Arabidopsis thaliana: one gene and its partners. The protein of the gene in region 3 purifies or fractionates together with the protein of the main gene of each other region. This does not show direct contact. Each region holds a gene or a part of one and is shown on either strand. Other genes may lie near its edges.

Region 1 (4,902 bases), on a different chromosome or scaffold from region 3:
GACGATTCTAAACGTCAAGAACAAGTTTTTAGCTATAGAAGCTCTCGGGAGAATGAATTCTCACCTCTAGAGCCAGATTAGGATGCCCAAATCGGAAATGCATCATTCCCAGACATAGCAAACCAATCTCGTACCTTCCATACATGCTGCAGCCAGTTGAAGGAGGAACAAGGTCAAATCCCTCAGTCCCTGCACTTTAAGGCAATGGATCATGGATCAGCTCATGTTTGAAACAACGTTCCTAGTGCCAAATATCTAACAGGCAAACACAACTGGATATTTACAGGAGTCACATGCAAACAATAAACGATTTCGGCAGTAATATTATTCTTAACATAAATTTTTAGGAAACAGAGAAAATTAGCAAAAAGTACAGATTACCTGTAATCAAAGTAACGGAGGAGATTATCCAAAGCAGCAAAGTAGTCATCACTGTGAAGTTTATTCAAGTAACGCAAAAAGTGAACCTGCATTGTTGCATGTCGTGATGTAAGAATCAAAGCACTGAAAGAATGATTAACTTCTGATTTAACTGAAAATAAAATACAAAATTGCAAGACATTACACGATGCAGTTCAGGGGCTAATTTCTGAAGCTGATCAAGGAAACTTTCGATGGAACTTGAAGAGAATGAACTTGAACTTCCATGGCTGACATCAAATTACAAGGGGATGGAAAGTTTAAAAACTAGCAATACTTATGACAGAAATATATAAATACTAAGGAAAAAGAGACTTTACATTTCAATTGCATCGGCCTGTTCCATTAAAAAGCCTTGTATCTGCAAATTTGTCCGAAGGAATAATGACTCATCTACCAGAGATTCCTCAAGTGTACTTGTTGAGGCACGAGCAACTGGAGTAGCTTCTGTATCTTTCTTGCTGGTCCTTGATGTTTCCTTCCTATTATGTAGCAAACCTGCAATGTTTCATGTGTTCTGTGCATTATTATAACATTGAGATCCTTACAAGACAAGTGAGTGTCAAAGCATAAGAATGAAACAAAAATATAAAAAACCGACAAAATTAATTTCTTAGTAGATCGTTTCTACATTACAAAAGGGAAAAAGGGAAATATCTTCAGAAGCCCAACTGTTAAAAAAGAAAAGTCTGAAAAAGCTTCATACAAACACATCGAAAGACTTTGATAAAACGTTGATCCTATGACTGATGCTAATCATCAGCAAAAATACATTACCAAACATATATGAGAAAAGTGGCAGCTAAATTGCAGCCTGATCATGAATATAAAACTCTATTTCCTCATAGTTTTCTAGCACCTGAGACTCTGAAAAACTCTAGGTTTTCTCTGAATTGGGTGAATACCATAAGGGATACCTTCTGTCGCTTTCATAAGTGAATCTGGTGTATGAAGGTGAAAAGGGACAATTCCACTAGCAGTTTTCTGAAACTCTATTTCTTCAGTTGGTTTATCCATTGCATAATTCTCCATATCCATCTGATCATATTGTATTAATGACTCCAGATTATTATTAGGTGCACCAAACTGAGCAAAGCTTGAATGGGCTTCTTTGCAGTAATCTTCAATACTTGAAAAAAGATGACAAACTCCCTGCACATATCAATGAAATGGACGGTTCTTTCAAACATTCACTTATGTGTTTCTGCAGCAATCAAGAACACTACAGCTAGATATTACACTTCAACCAGACCAGCCAGAGTTCTGCCATTAGATATCATATTTTAATGTACCTATACATGCGTCTACATTTAAGTCTAGCCTAGACAAGTACTCCATTGTAGTGGGTCAAGAAACAAACAAACTTCACATAGATGTTTAGACACAATTAAGTGGCTGACGAAAAAGCTAACAAATCCGCGTCCTTCAAGCAAAACCTCAAACTACACGTCATGTTGAATAATATTAATATTATTCAGTCTCAAAATAAAACAAGAATAACACAAACGTAAAAAGCTCAATACCTCGAACGATAAAAGGTTGAATGCCAAAATGCAACGACGAACAAACATTCCCAAGTTGCTGTTGGGATCCAAAATAATCTGATCATCTTGCACGACTCCTGAATCAAGGCTCCCAAGTATTCCTACATACAAAGAAATGATAACTAATTTGAGTCAAACATGATGGAAAAGAAGAAAAAACAGACCTTAAGCAAGCAAGTAGCTAACCTCGCATGTCATTAAAGAAATTTAATAGATCATCTGGTGAAGCCAAAGAGGAAAATCTATTAGTTAAATGGTCAGTTAGCCACGCGTCCATCTCTTCACCAACTTCCCTCAACTGGTTGATGAGCTTTTCCAGCTTCGGCTCAAATATATCATCGCAAGACTGCAGCATGAATATCAATCTCGTCAGGGAAAAGAACAGTTTGTTAGCACACGAAACCAGCAAATTCATTATTCACTCATGAAATCAACATAAGTTACAAGAGTTTTGAGCCGTGAAATCGTTACAACAGACATCGCTGAAATCAATCTCAGAAATTAGCAAAGAAGCTCTAAGAAATGCAATAAAGAAACTCGATACAACTTCGGGTATGAGAGACGGGCCAGGAAACTCAGAAGAATCAAAAGACATTGCTGAATTAAACCTCAAAAAACTACAAGATATTGCAATTCGAGAGAAATCGAAGAGTGAAACCTTAGTAAGAGAGAGCAAGTAGAGGCCGAGGCGGTTGTGCTGAGCAACGGAAGAGAAAGGAAAAGGAAGAGACATCTGAGCGGAAGGAGCGTATATCTGCAGGAGAATGCAAACGGAGATCTTGTGTGGAGTTACCGCAAAAGCACCGGCCGTTCTCGTTAATCCGGCCATATCTCTCTGTCGCTAAAACACTCACTCTCTCACTTTGGGATTCACACTGTCTCTCACTTTGGGACTCACGCTGTTGCTCAATCCCTGCCGGGTTATTTTCCCCCGACGAGCAGCCGGGATTAGGGCACCTTAGAGGAATTAATTTGAAATTTTGACTAAAGAGTCACCGGGAAAGTGAGCACTTTGAAAAGAGAAACAAAGGAAAAATAAAAACCGGTTATTTCAGGCCGGTAGTTGACCGCCGTCGGGTTAAGCCTTAAGAGTATATAACCCAGAGGCCAAGGCCCAAAGTTTTCCTTTTAACTTTTAAGTTTGATTTGATGTGTAAGGCCCAAAGGTGAAATAAAAGAAGCTAAATAAACTAATAATCAAACGAATAAAACTTCCTTTTTAATTTCGTTTTTTTTTGGGGCAACAAAACTTTCTTAAATTTACAAAACTACAACGGAATTTACAAATTACAAAGACATTAAAAAGTTCGTATATACTCTTTTATTAGTTTCGACTAAATATCGTATTAGAACAGAATCTATATTTTATCTTTTTATCAGAGATTTCAATTTATTTATTTTTGACAAAGGATTACCTCATGTAGTTGTTGCCAACTTGCCATTAACCATGATAGTGACGCAGGCTTCCAAAACATTTCGACGCGAGAGCCACTATCCGAATACTTGAATAATATTATTGTTGCGATTTTTTAAAAAGGTCTTGCTGATGGCCAAAAATAAAATAATAACAAAAATTATTGTATATACAATATATAAACGTGACAAAATGAGCTGTTGAATATGATACTAGTATAGTTCGTATATTAATTTATTTTGACCAATTGTACATTTTCGTCATCGGGGATGTAGCTCAGATGGTAGAGCGCTCGCTTAGCATGCGAGAGGTACGGGGATCGATACCCCGCATCTCCATTTTCCTATTTTTTGTTATCATTATTTTTTCTTGTCCCGGTTTTTCCCCACGTGGGAAACGTGAATAATTTAACTAAGACATGTACTTCTTCTCATCTATCTTCGTCGTTGACTCGTGAAACTTTTGACAACTTGTAGTATTAAGATCCAACTTCAAACCAACGGCAATTGCATTTTCAGCTAAAAGCAATGGAGTCATCACTTCCCCAAGTTGCTGCACTTGATCGTTCAACTCTACTCAAAGCTTTCGACGAGACTAAAACCGGCGTGAAAGGCCTTATCGACGCCGGAATCACAGAGATTCCTTCGATATTTCGTGCACCTCCGGCTACTTTAACAAGTCCAAAACCACCTTCCTCCTCTGATTTCTCCATCCCCACAATCGATCTCAAAGGAGGTGGCACGGACTCGATCACGCGGCGGAGCTTGGTGGAGAAGATCGGAGACGCGGCAGAGAAATGGGGATTTTTCCAGGTGATCAACCACGGGATCCCGATGGATGTGTTGGAGAAGATGATAGATGGGATTCGTGAGTTTCACGAGCAAGACACTGAAGTGAAGAAAGGGTTTTACTCTCGAGATCCAGCTAGTAAGATGGTATACAGCAGCAACTTCGATCTGTTTAGCTCACCGGCGGCGAATTGGAGAGATACACTTGGTTGTTATACAGCACCAGATCCCCCGAGACCGGAGGACTTACCCGCCACTTGTGGGTAAGATTTCCAAATTTGTTAAATTACGAGTTTGACTATTTTTGCTTTTGTAACATGTTGTGTTCCTCGGTCCGAAGAAATTATATATGGTCGAATAGTGTTTCACTACTCGTTAGACGAATATTAATCCAATAATACGTTTTCTTTTTTAACAAATTTTTATAACAATTGAAATACATAAATCCAATAATAACTTATTCAAATAGTTATAAGCGCTAGGATTTCGTTGAAGATTTTTACGCCCCCATTATTCATTAGTGTGTCTTAAAGATTTTGGTGGACATTTTTTCAGGGAGATGATGATTGAGTACTCAAAGGAAGTGATGAAATTGGGTAAATTACTCTTCGAGCTTCTCTCGGAAGCTCTAGGGTTAAACACTAATCACCTCAAGGACATGGATTGCACTAACTCCTTGCTGTTGCTCGGCCATTATTACCCGCCATGTCCCCAACCCGACCTTACTCTAGGCTTA
Region 2 (7,835 bases), on a different chromosome or scaffold from region 3:
TTGACGAAGCTTATAGCACCATCCATTTTGATCGATGAGAGGCTCAAAGACGAAATCTTTCCTCACGAAGTCTCCACCAAATTGTCCGCAGCAGATTCCTCCTGCCTCTTTCTCAACCACGGCTTTTACTCTAATCTGCTTACCTTCGACGATGAAACCAAGAACATCCTTCTTCATCGACAAATACTGCCGGAGTCCATACTCTGTCCACCGTAACTCCCCGTCGGCAGTCAAAGTCAACATAGCCAATTCACCATCAATAAACACTATGCCGGTGATTATATCAGTCGGACACATGAATTGATCATTCTCCATGAGACAAAACAAGACAACCTCCGTGACGGTGGCGTAGAGCTTAGAGAAAGAGAGAGAATTTCGTCTTGCTTCCTTAGTTGAGCTAAGAATAAAGAATGGACTTTGAAAAAACCCACCTTTTTGGTCAGCTTTGTCTGATCAAAGGGGAAGTGACAACCACGCGCTTTAACCTGTCGAGTGGCTGAGCTGACGTGGCGTAACCCTCTTTAATTATGACGCAAGTGTGAAAAGAAGAGACTGATACAGACATTAGAAGAAGTCATTAACTAACAAAACGTCACCGTTTACAACTTCAAGTAGTCAAGTTTCTGTTTCTTAACTTTAATAATCTACACAAACAACAATCAAAGCAGGCATTGGAGGAGGTTTACTTTTCATCAGAGATTTCTTCATCTTCATCTTCTTCCAATATGTACACCAAAGCTCGTCTTCTTTCAGCAAAAACACAAGCCACTCCTCTTGAAGCTGTAAGAATTTTAAATAATTAAGCAAATTATTTCATGATTTTGAAAAAGCATTTCTAGTTTGAAGAAGAAGAAAAGACAGAAAATTAAGCTCTTACCGCTTACTGCTAGAGGAGCAATGACAGAATGTGGTACTTTGCGAACCTTTTCATTCTCCATTTCCAGGTTCACAATCGAGCCCTGGAGATGCATAAGTTCTTACATAAACTTCACTAATTTTAAAACAAACGTCGATGTTAATGCTTGAAATTAGCAATACCTTCAAATCCTCTAGCTCCCACTGGTTTAGAGAACTAGATCCTGAAATGGAAATGAATGCGAGGTCACCAGTTTGTACAACCATCATGCATGCTTCTCCCGAGCCTTCGGAATCTGTATTTGTCTTATTCAATAATAAAACCAGTTCTTTATCCTGTTTCAAAATCAGACACAGGATTTACAAGGCAACTCCAAAAGAAAAAATATACCAATTAAATCAACCATTGTTGCAGAAGAGAATGAGTATTCACCTTGTAGAGAGACAAATCAACACAAGTGTAGCCATTAGGTACAGATAACAAAACGGCTTCCAGAGAAGTATAACCATTTTTCTCATTGTTGGAATTCTGCTTATAACCCTTAGCTATGCCAATACAGTTTGAAATCTCTGGGAAGGTCTCATCGGGGACTTGAAAAGATATGTAATCAGTGTACCCACTTTGACAAGGTGTATCATCAGAAAGTTCATTCTGCACAAGCAAACAGAGACTTTAGTATATCAGGAGCAAATGAAGACTTTGGAGATAGCAATCAGCAATCTCTTCCTAAGGATGCCCTATGGGATCATAATAAAGTGCATTAAGATTGTTGCTGCAAGTACCTTATAGAAGGAAAGAGACATGGGAATTGTTGTAGGTGTTTGCGTTGTTGACAACTGAAGAGGGCAAAGAGGCAACAACTTCATACATGATATCTTTCTTGATATTGTTGTAAAGGGCATTTGAAAAGCCATCTTGAAGCTAAAATTGTTAAAGCATTAAAATCAGAATTTGACGTCTAGTCAGAGAAAGCCATGAGAAAGTATGTCCAGATTATAAAGACTCAGCACACTTTGTTTTGCAAGTAAACTCCAATACCATAAATATGGTTGTTCATGTTGTATTTCAAAATGCCAAGGCAGCCATGGTATCGGACCTTTGTCTCTACCATAGCCTTTTACACGTATCAGTTTACCAACGTTGTGCTCCATGATGCAGCATTTTTAAGAAACTTTATGTTTTAAGAAGTGAAGATGTAAAGAAAATACCTAGACTCCATGTGTTGGAATTCCTTAGCCAATGTCCTCTGCAGAAAATCACACTCTGAAAACCCTCCAAACTGAAGTAACTCTTTGACTCTTCCGATGGTTTTGCTGGGACATTAAAACATTAAGAGTTTAAATGAAATGAAGTAAAACAAAGTGAATGAACAGCTAGGGATGATACAATGGACTTCATGCTTCACAAACGCACACACATTACCCATATCTGAATTTCGTTTTAGTGTGGTTAGAGAAACCTGCTCGGATTTCATTCGTATTATCACATTGGACTACCCCTATTGTATGTGGTTATAAATGGCTTAAAAAATTTTAGGTAACCTGACAGAGATTCTGCTCGACTACAAGATAAGTGATCAGAAAAGGTAGGTAAAAGCACAGACATAGAAAGAGTTGACCTACAGATCAATTTCAATGTCATCACCAGCTTCAGATAGCTCCAAGAGGTCTTTCACAGGATCTTGGTCATATAAGAACTTCAAGAATACCACAAGGAGTTCACTGCCACAGAAACAAACCATGTAACTGCAAAGATTTGGCTTTAACACCTTTAACAACATAAAAACACATGTGCATACCTGTTGTATGACAAAAGCTGATCATTCGGTTCTTGCATAAGATACTTTATACTTCTGACGAGCCAGTTGAAGAAATTTGAGAACTGAAACAAAAAGTTTATAATTCTATTGAAATGACCATTGCGTGGGAAACATGGGACAGCCAACATACTAAATAACTATGATTTTCAGTGTCAAAAGAACTGCACGCCTCTGTACCTGTTGGACAACAGAAGATAGTACCATCATAAACCGTTGCACTTGTACAAGTAGCAGACCAGTATTTTCAGTGGCTTCATTAAGGAGCATCTCATCCAAACCAATGCCTTGGTACCGTGCACGCCACCTCGATAGACCTCTTAATTCACCTATCCTGAATCCGATAATTTCTGCTGCAGGCTGAAAAAGAAAGCTTAATTCGTGACAAAACTCTATCTAAAAAGTATTAGCTGTATAAATAAACGCTACTTAGTCTAAAAACTATAACTCCATTTTCAGGAATGTAAAGAATACTGTACCTGAAGATGGTCAAGGACAACCTGCTGAAGCTCTTTTCCTGTACCACATACTGACTTTAAAACACGCTTCACACCCTACTGAACAAGAGAACTACTTAGTGGAATATGATAAAACTAGTACCCTGAAGAAGATCAAACAAGTAAAGCTTACCACTTCGCCAAGAGAGTTAACTAAAAACTGATTAAGCGCTGGGCTTATTCGTGCACCACCCAAAAGGCTAAGAAATTCTTCTTGAGGAGATGATTCCAGTCCTAGTAGAAAAGCAACAAAGCCCTGTAAATCTATAAGCAATTAAGCATAAGAGAAAAACCTCAACCAACAAACTGATAGTGACAAATACCATTATCAATGATCAAGGTGGAAAGAGAATGAAACTTTTCATGAAAAGTTTTCATTGCATCCGCCCATTGTTTGTTCATAACTGACAGGGATGCTCGAATAACCTCGGTCAAATCTTCAATGTTAGAAGCTTGTTGAGCAACCTGATGAAGCTCATATTTCCTGAGATAAAAATTAGAAGAGATAACGAATATGACAGATGTAAGGCAGAAAAACAGTGCCAATTATTAAAGGTTATTAAAATCAAGATTTAAAACAATGAGAAGGAACAAAAGAAAGAAGCAGCGGCAAAGTATAGCTAGGTTTGGTGTATTACCTTTTCCAAAATATAGATGTGTCCATTGCAAGGCAATGTAAACCAGGCAGATCTTGAACATTTATTTTTTCCTCTCTTGGCTTGATATCACAATCCTTAAGCTCTCCTGTGCACATTACTACCAGACGGCAAAGGTCTTTTGACAGAGCAACCTAAGAAATGAAATATACAAATAATTAATTTGAATCTAAAGACTCCTTATCATCTACCAAGCTCTCCTTTCTTTGTTTCCACAACAGACATTAACAGTCTGAGACATGAGAAATAACGAGAGGCCATTTATATCATTTGGAAAGCGTGGCTCTTGAAAGGATCCAAGTACCTTGTAAATGGAAGCATTAAATAGTTTGCAAGAGGCATGCTCATCGAGATGAGGCACAGGAAGAGACAGCTCGTGTATGTTCTGATCATGGTAATGCAAGAGCAGCAGAGCAAACACATGAAACAAGAGAAATGAAGACTTAAATTAAAATTATACTAAGAGAATATTGCTCATAGCTAGAAAAGAAATAAGAAACTTACAAACCGTAAACTTTACTCCTAACAATATTAATTACTTGTTATAAACGAACAATTAAGGATCTCAGAAAATAATTTCCATGTAGAAATAGTGTTGAAATTCATTAAGCATCCTGCAATTCTATATGCAAGCGGAATGGAAAGATGATGAAGCATCATCAACCATAATACATGAATGGATAATTACGGCTTACTAATTACTTACAGTCAAAAGAGCGACTTACAATCTTTCCTATCTGAAATATTCCAAATATACTGAAGCATATGTTCCCATCACGATCACCAGTGCAAAGAATGTTAAACTTCCGGAATGAGGTATTGGATAGCTCTGCCAAAGAGTCTTCACCGTCATCCATGAAACTGGAGTCACCAGCTACCAGTCCAGGCATCTTTGGAGGTCTTGGAGCAGGAGGAAAAAAACGGGAGGTCCGGTCCTCATAAACTGAGAAATTACCACTTTCATCCTGTAAACCAAACTCTAAGAAAAAGTAAGCACAAGCTCAAATAACTATAAGAGTTGGGTGTGAAAAAAAAAACTAAGAGAATAGATGCTTCAACTGGGATTGGTAAAAGAAACTTTCTCAGTTTGTCAACACAAATATAGATACCGCAACCAAACATGAGTTCTTGTACAACTAGTCAGAGGAGAAAACATACAGTATTGGATTGTCCATCCTCCTCCCAGTTAAGACACACGACAGCTACATCATGGGGCTTCAAGTTCCTTAATAGCTTCCCATTCTGCATGAAAAGAGTATTACCAACTTTTTGATCAGCATGATCCTTTATAAATAAAACATAATACTAGTTTCTATACAGCAAAGTTTAAAAAGGAATATTTAGGCTATCAACAACGTCATCATGTAAAACATGGATTAGTTTCAATCTATACTTGCCTCAACATCGTGAAGTGAAATGGTTCCATCCTCGAGCCCAACAGCTATGGCTTTGCCATCAGGACGCCAACATAAAGAAGTAACAGGCTTTCCTATAAACCAAAAGAAAGGAAATACACTTAGTACCAGAACTATTGACAACCTACTTCAAATTGCATTCCACTTTCAATTTCAGCAAATAACTAAGTTCCACAAACGAATTTTCATCAAGCCTGAAAGTTAAGGAATACAATAATCACAAACCATCTTGTAATCAAAATTGTCTACTTTAAATCAAACAAAGTGAACAAAAGAGAGAAACTTTACCAGGCGAAATAGTCCATAATCTCTGCCAATTGAACCGATGCAGCAAAATCTTGGAGTCCTCAGTAACCATTGCCAGTAAATCCTTCTCCGGGTTCCACTCAGCTATCTTAATCTAATGAAATTGAACATATATAAACATCTAAATCCTTAAAAGCATAAAAAAGACACGAACTTTGAGCAGGAGTAGAACCAAAACCTGAAAAGGTATGGGCTTGTCGAACTGGAGCTGGAAAGGAATGATATTTTCTTCCTCGTCACTCGCCATTTCCGACATTCCGAGGTTTTTGGGATTAGGGGTTAATATTCTAATTTTCAATATCTAGCAAAGCTGTAGGAAGGAAGTAACTAGAGAGAAACACTTGAGAAGAAAGCTGTAGAGAGTGGATAAAGGAAAGAAGACGGTGGTCGCCGGGATTCGCCGATCCGCCGGGAGAAGAGAGAGACGCACTAATGACAAACCTGGCGGGCTTTTCTTCCAAATTCCAATCAAAATCCCTAATCCGGTTTTTGGTTTAAGTTCGGTTCAATTTGTCGGTCTGAGATTGAAAACCTGGTTCAGGTTTTGGAGATTTTGACTGGGGTTTAGAACGAAAGTAAACCTCTCTCTGCTGCTTTTTTCCAGAAGCTCTGACGAAGAAGATGGGTGAAGAAGAAGCAGTAGCAGAAGAAAATGGTGGACTTAAGGTAGAATCAGGAGAACAAAAATCATCCTGGCCTACTATGAGATTTGATGTCTCTCCTTATAGAACGCACCATTTCTCTAAGCAGTTCAGGACAGCTCGAAACCCTAATAATTTCCTCAAGGGTCTTAAGTGGTACCCTTTTCTTCTTGTTTCAAATCAATCTCTTGAGTAGAGTTTTGTTCTTTCTCAAAGTTTGGTTTTTTCTTTTTGCCTAACTTTTGAGGTACTGATTTTGTTACTGTTTCTTATATAGGTCACCTGATGGTTCATGTTTCCTTGCAAGCTCTGAAGATAATACACTTAGTCTGTTTCATCTGTAAGTTGAATAATTTCAATTGAAATATTTTTGTAGCTTAAGTATCAATAATTTTGTATGTTTGTGTAGTTTTAGTTCTCTGTTGAATCTTTAGTTTTGCAAATTTGCCCCATCAGGCCACAAGATGGAGGGGATTCTAATGGCTATGGAGTGCCAGTCCCTGAAGAAGGTTAGCTTTTCCATCTAGCATTTGTATGTTGTGGCAAATGCTGTAAAATATGTGTGAAGTAATTTTGTGATTCATGGTGTGTTTATTGGAATTGTAGATTCGTATGGTGCGAGTCTTCTAGTGAATGAGGGTGAATCTGTCTATGATTTCTGTTGGTATCCATACATGTCAGTTTCAGGTAATAGATAAGCTCATCATAAGGGGTTCAATTTTTTGGCTTAATGATTTCATCAGTTGAATTACTGATTTTGGCTGTTCACTGATTGATATCAGACCCTTTAACATGCGTCTTCGCTACCTCCACTAGAGACCATCCGATACATCTTTGGGATAGTACTTCTGGTGAGGTGCTGATTTTTTCCATGAAACTTAACATGTTTACTGGAGATTTTTTCTACCATCCTTTTTTGTTTATTTACATGTGAATAACACAATGTCAGCTTCGATGCACATACCGGGCCTATGATGCTATGGATGAAATAACTGCTGCATTTTCAGTTGGATTCAATCCTGATGGAACCAAGTAAGCAAAAACTTCATCTAAGTTGTATCCATCTTCCCACACGGTAAAGAATTGATTAAAAGTGGTCTATGTTCATTTGCCTGTGTTATGTCTTTAGGATCTTTGCTGGTTACAACAGCTCCATCAGAGTGTTTGATCTTCATCGTCCTGGAAGAGATTTTAGGCAGTATTCAACTCTACAGAAAAACAAAGAGGGCCAAGCAGGTTTTTTTCTTTCTTTTCCACTCAGACGCTGCATAACAATATTATTACAGATTATACAGAAACAAGAACAACCTTAACTGGTTCATAATTTCCAGGTATATTATCTACTCTTGCTTTCTCCCCAACTAATTCTGGAATGTTGGCTGTGGGGTCTTACGGGCAAACTACTGGGATTTATAGAGAAGACAACATGGAGCTATTGTATGTTTTACATGGTCAAGAAGGCGGTGTTACACATGTAAGCATTGACCACTAAATGTGCCTTATTTTTGTCCATTGGGATATGATCCAATTATTGATCGAATTTTTGGTGGCTTTTAGGTCCAGTTTTCAAAGGATGGGAACTATTTATATACAGGAGGTCGCAAGGTAACATACTGTTATAAACATTTTACCCTCTGAATGTTGAGCA
Region 3 (6,761 bases):
ATTTATTTATTCATAAAATGTATTTCTGACTTGCGGTTTAATTATTATGTTATTGGTTGGTTTAATTAGATATTTATGGGAATATTTAATTATATTTTTTTTTTAAAAAATGGGTCGGGTTGTTTCAATTAGATATCATATTGTTGTGATTTTTTGTTAACCAAATAAGCTACATTACCTGCAGAATCGCGATTAACTTAGACTAGTTTACAGCTATTGCCCGCAGATTTTTTTTTTTTTTTTTTGTCATCAGATATTATTTAGGACTCAAACAAGTCAAAATTGCGATAAATTATTTACATAAGTAATGTGTAGCGGTTCTGCACTAATTGCTCGCGGATTTCAGAATACTATTATCAGGGTTTCTCAAATACTCTTTATAAAAGAGAAATCGATAATTTTATTATTAAACAGTATATCAAATTCAATAAAAACTGGCAAATACATTATACATTAAACCTAAGTAGGCTATTGATAAGAAAGCTCAAAATCATTAAGAACCTCTAAAGAATATCACAACTTGTATAATTTACCCTAATGGAGAAATGGCCAATCTCTAATTACATAATTGTGTGGTTAAAGAAATGATTGTGGAGTCAAAGAAAAATAAAAAGAAAAGTAGTAATTGTTTATCACTAACTATATGAGATTTAATTGAGAAAAGAAAAGGATATTGATACAACAATAGACAAAATTAGTTCTAGCTAGTCTAACACATGTAAAGAGTTGATCTACTTCTTTAGCAAATACATACCATCTCTAAACTCTAGTTTCTCTTCAGAAACCAAACCAGAAAGAAAGCTCTGAAGCTGTTGCAGTGACTTGTCATAAGAAGGATCAGCCACACAAAACATCTACAACAAAACAACAAAAAAAACAGAGCAATCATCAATGATCAAGACAAATAATATTGTAAAATCAGTGAGGTTTGATGTCAGATTGTTACCTTGAGAGTGTTATGGATTCGTTCTAGTGCCATGCTACCAAAATTTGTGAGCATTCCCATGATGAATTTCTGAAAACATGGTTGATAATTGTTTAGATTTGTATATCTCTGGAGAAGGAAAAAGTTTCCCAAGCATTTTACATACCTCGTATATCGTCATTTCTTTGCGAAGCTGATCTTCCACAGAGGCAATTGATGTTTCACCCTCTTCCTCACCTGTTAGAAGCTCCTCGCCTTCGTTCTTTCCAGAATCAGTTATGGATTCAACGAGCGTTAACACACTGGAATTTGAGTTTGCTCCTGTAGATTCTCTCAGAACTCCCTAAGTACAGAAAAACTTGCAAATAAGCTTTTCATCTAAATGACTGGTTTAAAGCAGGAGACTACAATTACGGTATATACCTTGCTTATCCAGAAGTTTACTCTTCGGTTTAATGCATCAATGGGTATCCCAATGACTTCAGCAAGATCTTTATAGGTCCAACTGAAAGATTACATAACTTCAGTGAATTTGGAAGATGGAAATATCCATATTGACTGATTCTTGTACTTACCTTTTCTTTTCTTGAAATTGCATAATAATGGCTGCATGTGTGGGTGAGACTGTGAACTGCATTGCTCTGTCTTCAAATTGCAGCTCCAACTGAATCCATCCAAGCCATTTCAGAGAGATGCATAGGTCAGTATCTGATTTACCCAATACTCGAAAACATGAAACTTTCACTTATAAGTATTTATTCTAGATGTACCTTGACAGTGCCAAGATTTTTCTTCCAAAGTAATTTACGAGGGGTCTTGATTTCATGATATCGATTGGCATAATCTGATAGCAGCTTGTCGACAGGTCCAGGTAGCTCTAGAGGTTCATCCTGAAATTCCTCTTCTAATCAGCGAATGGAAGCGATCACAAGAATCTATACGCCTCATATTTTACGTATGACATAATGGATACAAAATCAGAGGGAAGAACATATGAATACCTGAATTGGTGGCCAGAAGTTTGTTGAAAGTATCGTTGAGGTGAGAGTATCAACAGAAAGCTCATTCTCTCTTAACTCAGCGCCTAAACACAAGCAATGGACACAAATACCAAGTAAAAGAACCAGACAAGAACCTACCTTGCATGAGTAAAATTGAGAACAAGAGAGAAATATAACCTGTTTGAGATGCTTTTTTAATGTTAGTGTTCACTCTCTTAGAATCAATTAGGTCGTTCAGCATTATCTCACATCTTTGCATACTGGCTTCTCCAAAATGTATCTATTGGCATAATAAGAGAAGGTAAAGTTAGATTCAACACTATAGAAACAATCCAATAGTTTGGCAAGTCAAACTTAAGAGGGACAAAATGGAGCTTGCCTTGAGAAGTTCAACAGTGCGTATCTCAGTGTCGATGTCATAATCAGTCTTGTTGAGAAGCTTTTCCGCAAGCATAACACGATATTCGTTTACTAGTTGCTCTTTAGATCCAATTATATCAACAAGCATTCCAAGTATGTCTACCTTCCTCTGACTGAGGCTACCTTTTAAAGGATCAGCCTCGACAGGGTCCGGTTCCCAACTGAGGTGAAAGCACATTAAAAGGTGTCAGACAAATCCAATGCGAAGCAAGATGATAATCAAGAAAATATACAACAGGAAGGATACCGGGAAGCATTGATCCAGGCTTGCTTATCATCGGTGTGAAAATCATCGTCAAAACCGACATTCTCTTGACTTTCTTCATCCCTCATTAATTCTTCAAGAAGACTATCCCCAGGGTTTCCGGAACCATTTGCATTCCCTCCACTTCCATCTGTAAGCATAGTGACGATACATTTAATGGTATCTTTCCGCCCCCGTAAATAGTCTCTAATTGGTTCACCCACTGCTTCCAGAAATACACCAGCTGGATCTATTGCCCGAAGAGCTTTAATAGTCGACACATACTGATGTAATATATCATTGGTTGAGGCACCAGCAGTGAGCAAACGGTATTTCAGCGAAGAAATAAAAGATTCAACTAGCTTAGAATGTTGTCCAGTATATTCAAGACACTGCTTTAAGTCTTCAATGGCAGGAGAACTGTTGCATCAACAAAATTTTCATCAGAGACGCAAGATATTTCGACTACTTGCAGTTTTTAAATTGGCTCTCAAGTGAGATATGTGGGCATAAAAAAGTAACATCAGAAAAGAAAATACCTCTCAGGATAATCAACAATTATCTCAAATAATTTGGCAATCCTTAAATCTTGAAGTGTTTCATATGCAAAATATTCTAGCCGTAATTTCCACCGAACAATTCCTTCAGAAGGAGTCACCACTCTGGAAAAGCTTGGAGATGGGCAACAAGCCAGAGGGGACGTGAGGCCAGACGATGTGGTACCATAACTTACGGAATCACCAAGATAAGAAAGAAGTGCATTAAGGAATTGTAGAGGGACTGTCTGAAAAGAGAAAATAAGATGTCAGGAATCTCCAAATTACCAAACTAATCTGATGGAGCAGTGAAAATCTAACCAGCAAAAACTACCTGAATCCATTCTTTGATTGATTCCAAAACAGAAGTCCTGTAATCATCACCAGCCAGATCATGGACTTTCGCCTACAGTATAACATTGCCAAACAGGGTACAAGTTACTGACAATAGATATAGTGTTATAACTCTCTGTGAGGCAGATGAATAATCTGATGCATAAAAAATACCTTAAGGAGCAAAAAGATGGCAGAAGCATAAGCATTTTCAGCCATAGATGTAAATCCAATACTTCTAAGGTCACGGACCACCTTCCCAATGTTCTTCACCAACTTGTCATGTCCCAAACGTTTTCCTTGGGAACAGCCTTCATCAACATCCATTTCTCCGTTTTTATATCTCAACTTCTCGTCCAAATCCATGCAATCATCCTCTTGTTCTTCAATACCATCTCCGTCCATGATTGCGCTTAACTCCTCCAGCCTTTCCTTAAAATACCAGTGGAGTATTTCTAAGAACATAATAAAAAGAGGAACAATAAGAGAGTAATGATTGAACAAGTGGCAAACGTATAAATAAAACTTCCAAGCAATCAAACTACATCAGAAATCACACAAAGAACAAGCTTTCAAAGATGGGTATACCAGGAAAATGCTGAGGAAGTGTAGTCATCAGAGTTGAAGACAGCATTGACTGGAACCTCGAAAAAAGATGAACTCTTTCTGTATCTGAGTTCTGTCTATCATCTGACGACTGTTCTTTAAACGACTGCAAAGCATGAACTACTATGGACAGACACTTCTCATGATACTGCTTTTCAATAGAAATTTCTTCCAAAGCCTTGCATAACACTATCTGAATCTCCTCTCCATAATTCTGCCCAAAAGCACTCATTTTTAGTCAAAACTAGAAGTCAATTTCAGAATATTTTATAGCAAACAAAGAATCAACCAAGCGTGTAACTTCTTACATGATGTTTCTTCTCACTATAAGCATCAAAATGTTGCCAAAAACTCGATGCACCTCCCTTCTCAAAAGCTTGCTGAAACAAAACAAATGTATCATAAGAGAACAAACATACTTCTTCCACTTTTACTCTACACCAACAGAGCAGCTACTAAGTGGTACAAGCTAATCAGTTATGCAATCAGAAAGCTCCAAGACTCAAACTTTAATCTAAAAGGAAGACGTTTATGTTCAGTACCTCAAGTGATCTAAGAAAGTGATCACGAACAAGAGAATCAAGCCCATACTTGCAGAGACAATACACATGAGACACAAACTCATCTTCAACTAAGGAATCTCCAGTACCAGCAATGAGAGACTCTACAGTAGTGAAAAATCCATCATAGCTTTCAGTAATCTCCTGAATCGCATCGTCTGATAGAGTTTCTAAAATCTCTAAATTGCAATCAGAGGAACCTAAAGCTTCCATCTTTTTCACTCTTGAGTAAGTAACAAAACCTCCTAAAACCCTAATTTCTTGCCCAGCAAAATCACAATTACTAGGGTTTCACTGGCAAGAAGATAAAATCAGAAACCAATCTCAATTTCATTTCACTGAAGAAACAAAATCAAACGGAACACATTAATGAAGAAAAGATTGAAATTTACATTGATGAAGTTCAGAGAGAGAAGCTATAGAAGAAGATTCATAAAGTTTGGTCATTCACAAACGCAATTATAAAACGCTAACAAACGCAAAAACAAAACGGAATTAAAAAAGACGTTTTATTAGGCTCCATTCTGATTACTCTGTTTTTCAACTTTAGTTCAAAAAACTTGAGAATATCCGACTACAAAGATACGACCTTTCAATACAAAATCAGATCATCGTCGTGTGTTTAACTTTAACGAATCTAGGTTTTATTGAATCTCGACATGTCGGAGGAGAAAGTCGTCGCTGTGATCATGGTTGGTGGTCCGACCAAAGGTATAACATTCTCTTTTGGATCTCAAATTCTATTTTCAAAACATGAATTTTTGATTTTGGTTTTGGGTTTTTGCTAATGTGGATTGGTTTAGGAACTCGATTTCGCCCGTTATCGTTCAATACACCGAAACCATTGATTCCTTTGGCTGGTCAACCTATGATTCATCATCCTATCTCTGCTTGTAAAAAGGTTTCTTCTTTTTACTATTTCTTGCTTTTGATCCCTGAGAAAAGTTTGGTATTGCTTGAGTCGTGAAAGTTGTCAACTTTGAAATGTGGATTGCTCATAACTTGTTTTGATTTGACATGGATCGTTTGTCTTTATGTGGGTTTGTTCCATTTTAGTACTCTACACTTTGGAATATTTTCTTGTTGTTGTATGATTTGTAGTGTCAAAGTTTTGAACTTTTCATAGTTTCTTCAGGCTCAAAGGATGGGAAAGTTCTCAACTTTGTAATGATGATTGATCATATTATATTTGTTTTGTATTTGGCATGGACAGATATCAAATCTGGCTCAGATTTTTCTGATTGGATTTTACGAGGAACGAGAATTTGCTTTGTATGTGTCTTCAATATCTAACGAGCTGAAAATTCCAGTGCGGTAAGTTGTAGTAGCATTTGTGTTTTTGGTTTTTGGTGTGTAATGTGAAATCGAGAATTGAACGATGTTCTTGTTATATAGATACTTGAAAGAAGATAAACCCCATGGTTCAGCTGGTGCTCTTTATTACTTTCGTGATAGAATTATGGAAGAGAAACCGGTTTGATTTCTGATGAAATTCCCAACTTTAGTTCCTGCCTCATCAGTCATTTGTTTTCCTGATTGATCTTCCATTTCTTGTCTCTTTGAACAGTCACATGTTTTCCTCCTCAACTGTGATGTTTGCTGTTCTTTCCCTCTTCAAGGCATACTTGGTAATCTCCCTTTGAAATCGCTAATCTGCTTCATCGTTTTCATTTTCTTACTTTGATGTACTTCACTACTTTTCGTAGACGCACATCGAAGATATGGTGGTATTGGAACTATGCTAGTAATCAAGGTTCGTTATCCTGATGTTATTTTAGATGTCACTAAGGAAACAAACATAAAGATCAAACATAAACATGAATATCGCTTTTTCACTTCAGGTTTCTGCAGAAGCAGCTAGCCAATTTGGTGAATTGATAGCTGATCCTGATACTAAAGAACTCCTGCATTATACAGAGAAGCCCGAGACTTTCGTAATTATCTGCTAAACAATCCTGTTTTCTTAATTCCTTCACAGGCTCTGAAATTTGTTTAGCTTAAATTATCTACTCAATGCAGGTCAGTGACTTGATAAACTGTGGTGTCTATGTGTTTACTTCAGATATCTTCAATGCAATTGAAGAAGTATATAGCCAAATAAGAGACACATGTGAGTATTCATTATTGGCCTCTCTC

Evidence for each region.
Region 1: the proteins of APC2 (region 3) and AT1G06590 purify together in Arabidopsis thaliana (affinity purification with mass spectrometry, with the first as the bait; one large-scale study listed by BioGRID). This does not show direct contact.
Region 2: the proteins of APC2 (region 3) and APC4 purify together in Arabidopsis thaliana (affinity purification with mass spectrometry, with the first as the bait; one large-scale study listed by BioGRID). This does not show direct contact.

What each region holds. Positions count from the first base shown.
Region 1 is NC_003070.9:2,021,713-2,026,614, forward strand, and holds the start of AT1G06590 (anaphase-promoting complex subunit), read right to left. Parts: upstream 3,038-4,902; 5' UTR 2,794-3,037; coding exon 2,623-2,793; intron 2,311-2,622; coding exon 2,151-2,310; intron 2,066-2,150; coding exon 1,944-2,065; intron 1,573-1,943; coding exon 1,338-1,572; intron 919-1,337; coding exon 741-918; intron 651-740; coding exon 566-650; intron 468-565; coding exon 382-467; intron 195-381; coding exon 65-194; intron 1-64. Other genes in the region: AT1G06620 (2-oxoglutarate (2OG) and Fe(II)-dependent oxygenase superfamily protein), read left to right, coding at 3,906-4,429, 4,722-4,902. UniProt on the Arabidopsis thaliana protein: Component of the anaphase promoting complex/cyclosome (APC/C), a cell cycle-regulated E3 ubiquitin-protein ligase complex that controls progression through mitosis and the G1 phase of the cell cycle.
Region 2 is NC_003075.7:11,448,710-11,456,544, reverse strand, and holds APC4 (Transducin/WD40 repeat-like superfamily protein), read right to left. Parts: upstream 5,994-7,835; 5' UTR 5,803-5,993; coding exon 5,725-5,802; intron 5,641-5,724; coding exon 5,529-5,640; intron 5,315-5,528; coding exon 5,223-5,314; intron 5,068-5,222; coding exon 4,984-5,067; intron 4,791-4,983; coding exon 4,551-4,790; intron 4,211-4,550; coding exon 4,130-4,210; intron 3,960-4,129; coding exon 3,808-3,959; intron 3,654-3,807; coding exon 3,493-3,653; intron 3,404-3,492; coding exon 3,303-3,403; intron 3,227-3,302; coding exon 3,152-3,226; intron 3,033-3,151; coding exon 2,853-3,032; intron 2,738-2,852; coding exon 2,655-2,737; intron 2,578-2,654; coding exon 2,479-2,577; intron 2,170-2,478; coding exon 2,065-2,169; intron 1,778-2,064; coding exon 1,639-1,777; intron 1,508-1,638; coding exon 1,289-1,507; intron 1,192-1,288; coding exon 1,039-1,191; intron 960-1,038; coding exon 878-959; intron 781-877; coding exon 683-780; 3' UTR 538-682; and 1 more. Other genes in the region: SPHK2 (Diacylglycerol kinase family protein), read right to left, coding at 1-315; AT4G21520 (Transducin/WD40 repeat-like superfamily protein), read left to right, coding at 6,168-6,343, 6,465-6,527, 6,644-6,696, 6,794-6,874, 6,970-7,043, 7,137-7,219, 7,317-7,423, 7,519-7,661 and 1 more.
Region 3 is NC_003071.7:1,623,010-1,629,770, reverse strand, and holds APC2 (anaphase-promoting complex/cyclosome 2), read right to left. Parts: upstream 5,142-6,761; 5' UTR 4,839-5,141; coding exon 4,608-4,838; intron 4,446-4,607; coding exon 4,374-4,445; intron 4,280-4,373; coding exon 4,048-4,279; intron 3,915-4,047; coding exon 3,634-3,914; intron 3,533-3,633; coding exon 3,461-3,532; intron 3,375-3,460; coding exon 3,130-3,374; intron 3,011-3,129; coding exon 2,594-3,010; intron 2,508-2,593; coding exon 2,306-2,507; intron 2,207-2,305; coding exon 2,104-2,206; intron 2,010-2,103; coding exon 1,927-2,009; intron 1,816-1,926; coding exon 1,696-1,815; intron 1,590-1,695; coding exon 1,501-1,589; intron 1,431-1,500; coding exon 1,349-1,430; intron 1,269-1,348; coding exon 1,092-1,268; intron 1,016-1,091; coding exon 947-1,015; intron 855-946; coding exon 732-854; 3' UTR 512-731; downstream 1-511. Other genes in the region: AT2G04650 (ADP-glucose pyrophosphorylase family protein), read left to right, coding at 5,285-5,336, 5,429-5,526, 5,839-5,939, 6,021-6,099, 6,193-6,253, 6,332-6,378, 6,467-6,559, 6,645-6,735. UniProt on the Arabidopsis thaliana protein: Component of the anaphase promoting complex/cyclosome (APC/C), a cell cycle-regulated E3 ubiquitin-protein ligase complex that controls progression through mitosis and the G1 phase of the cell cycle.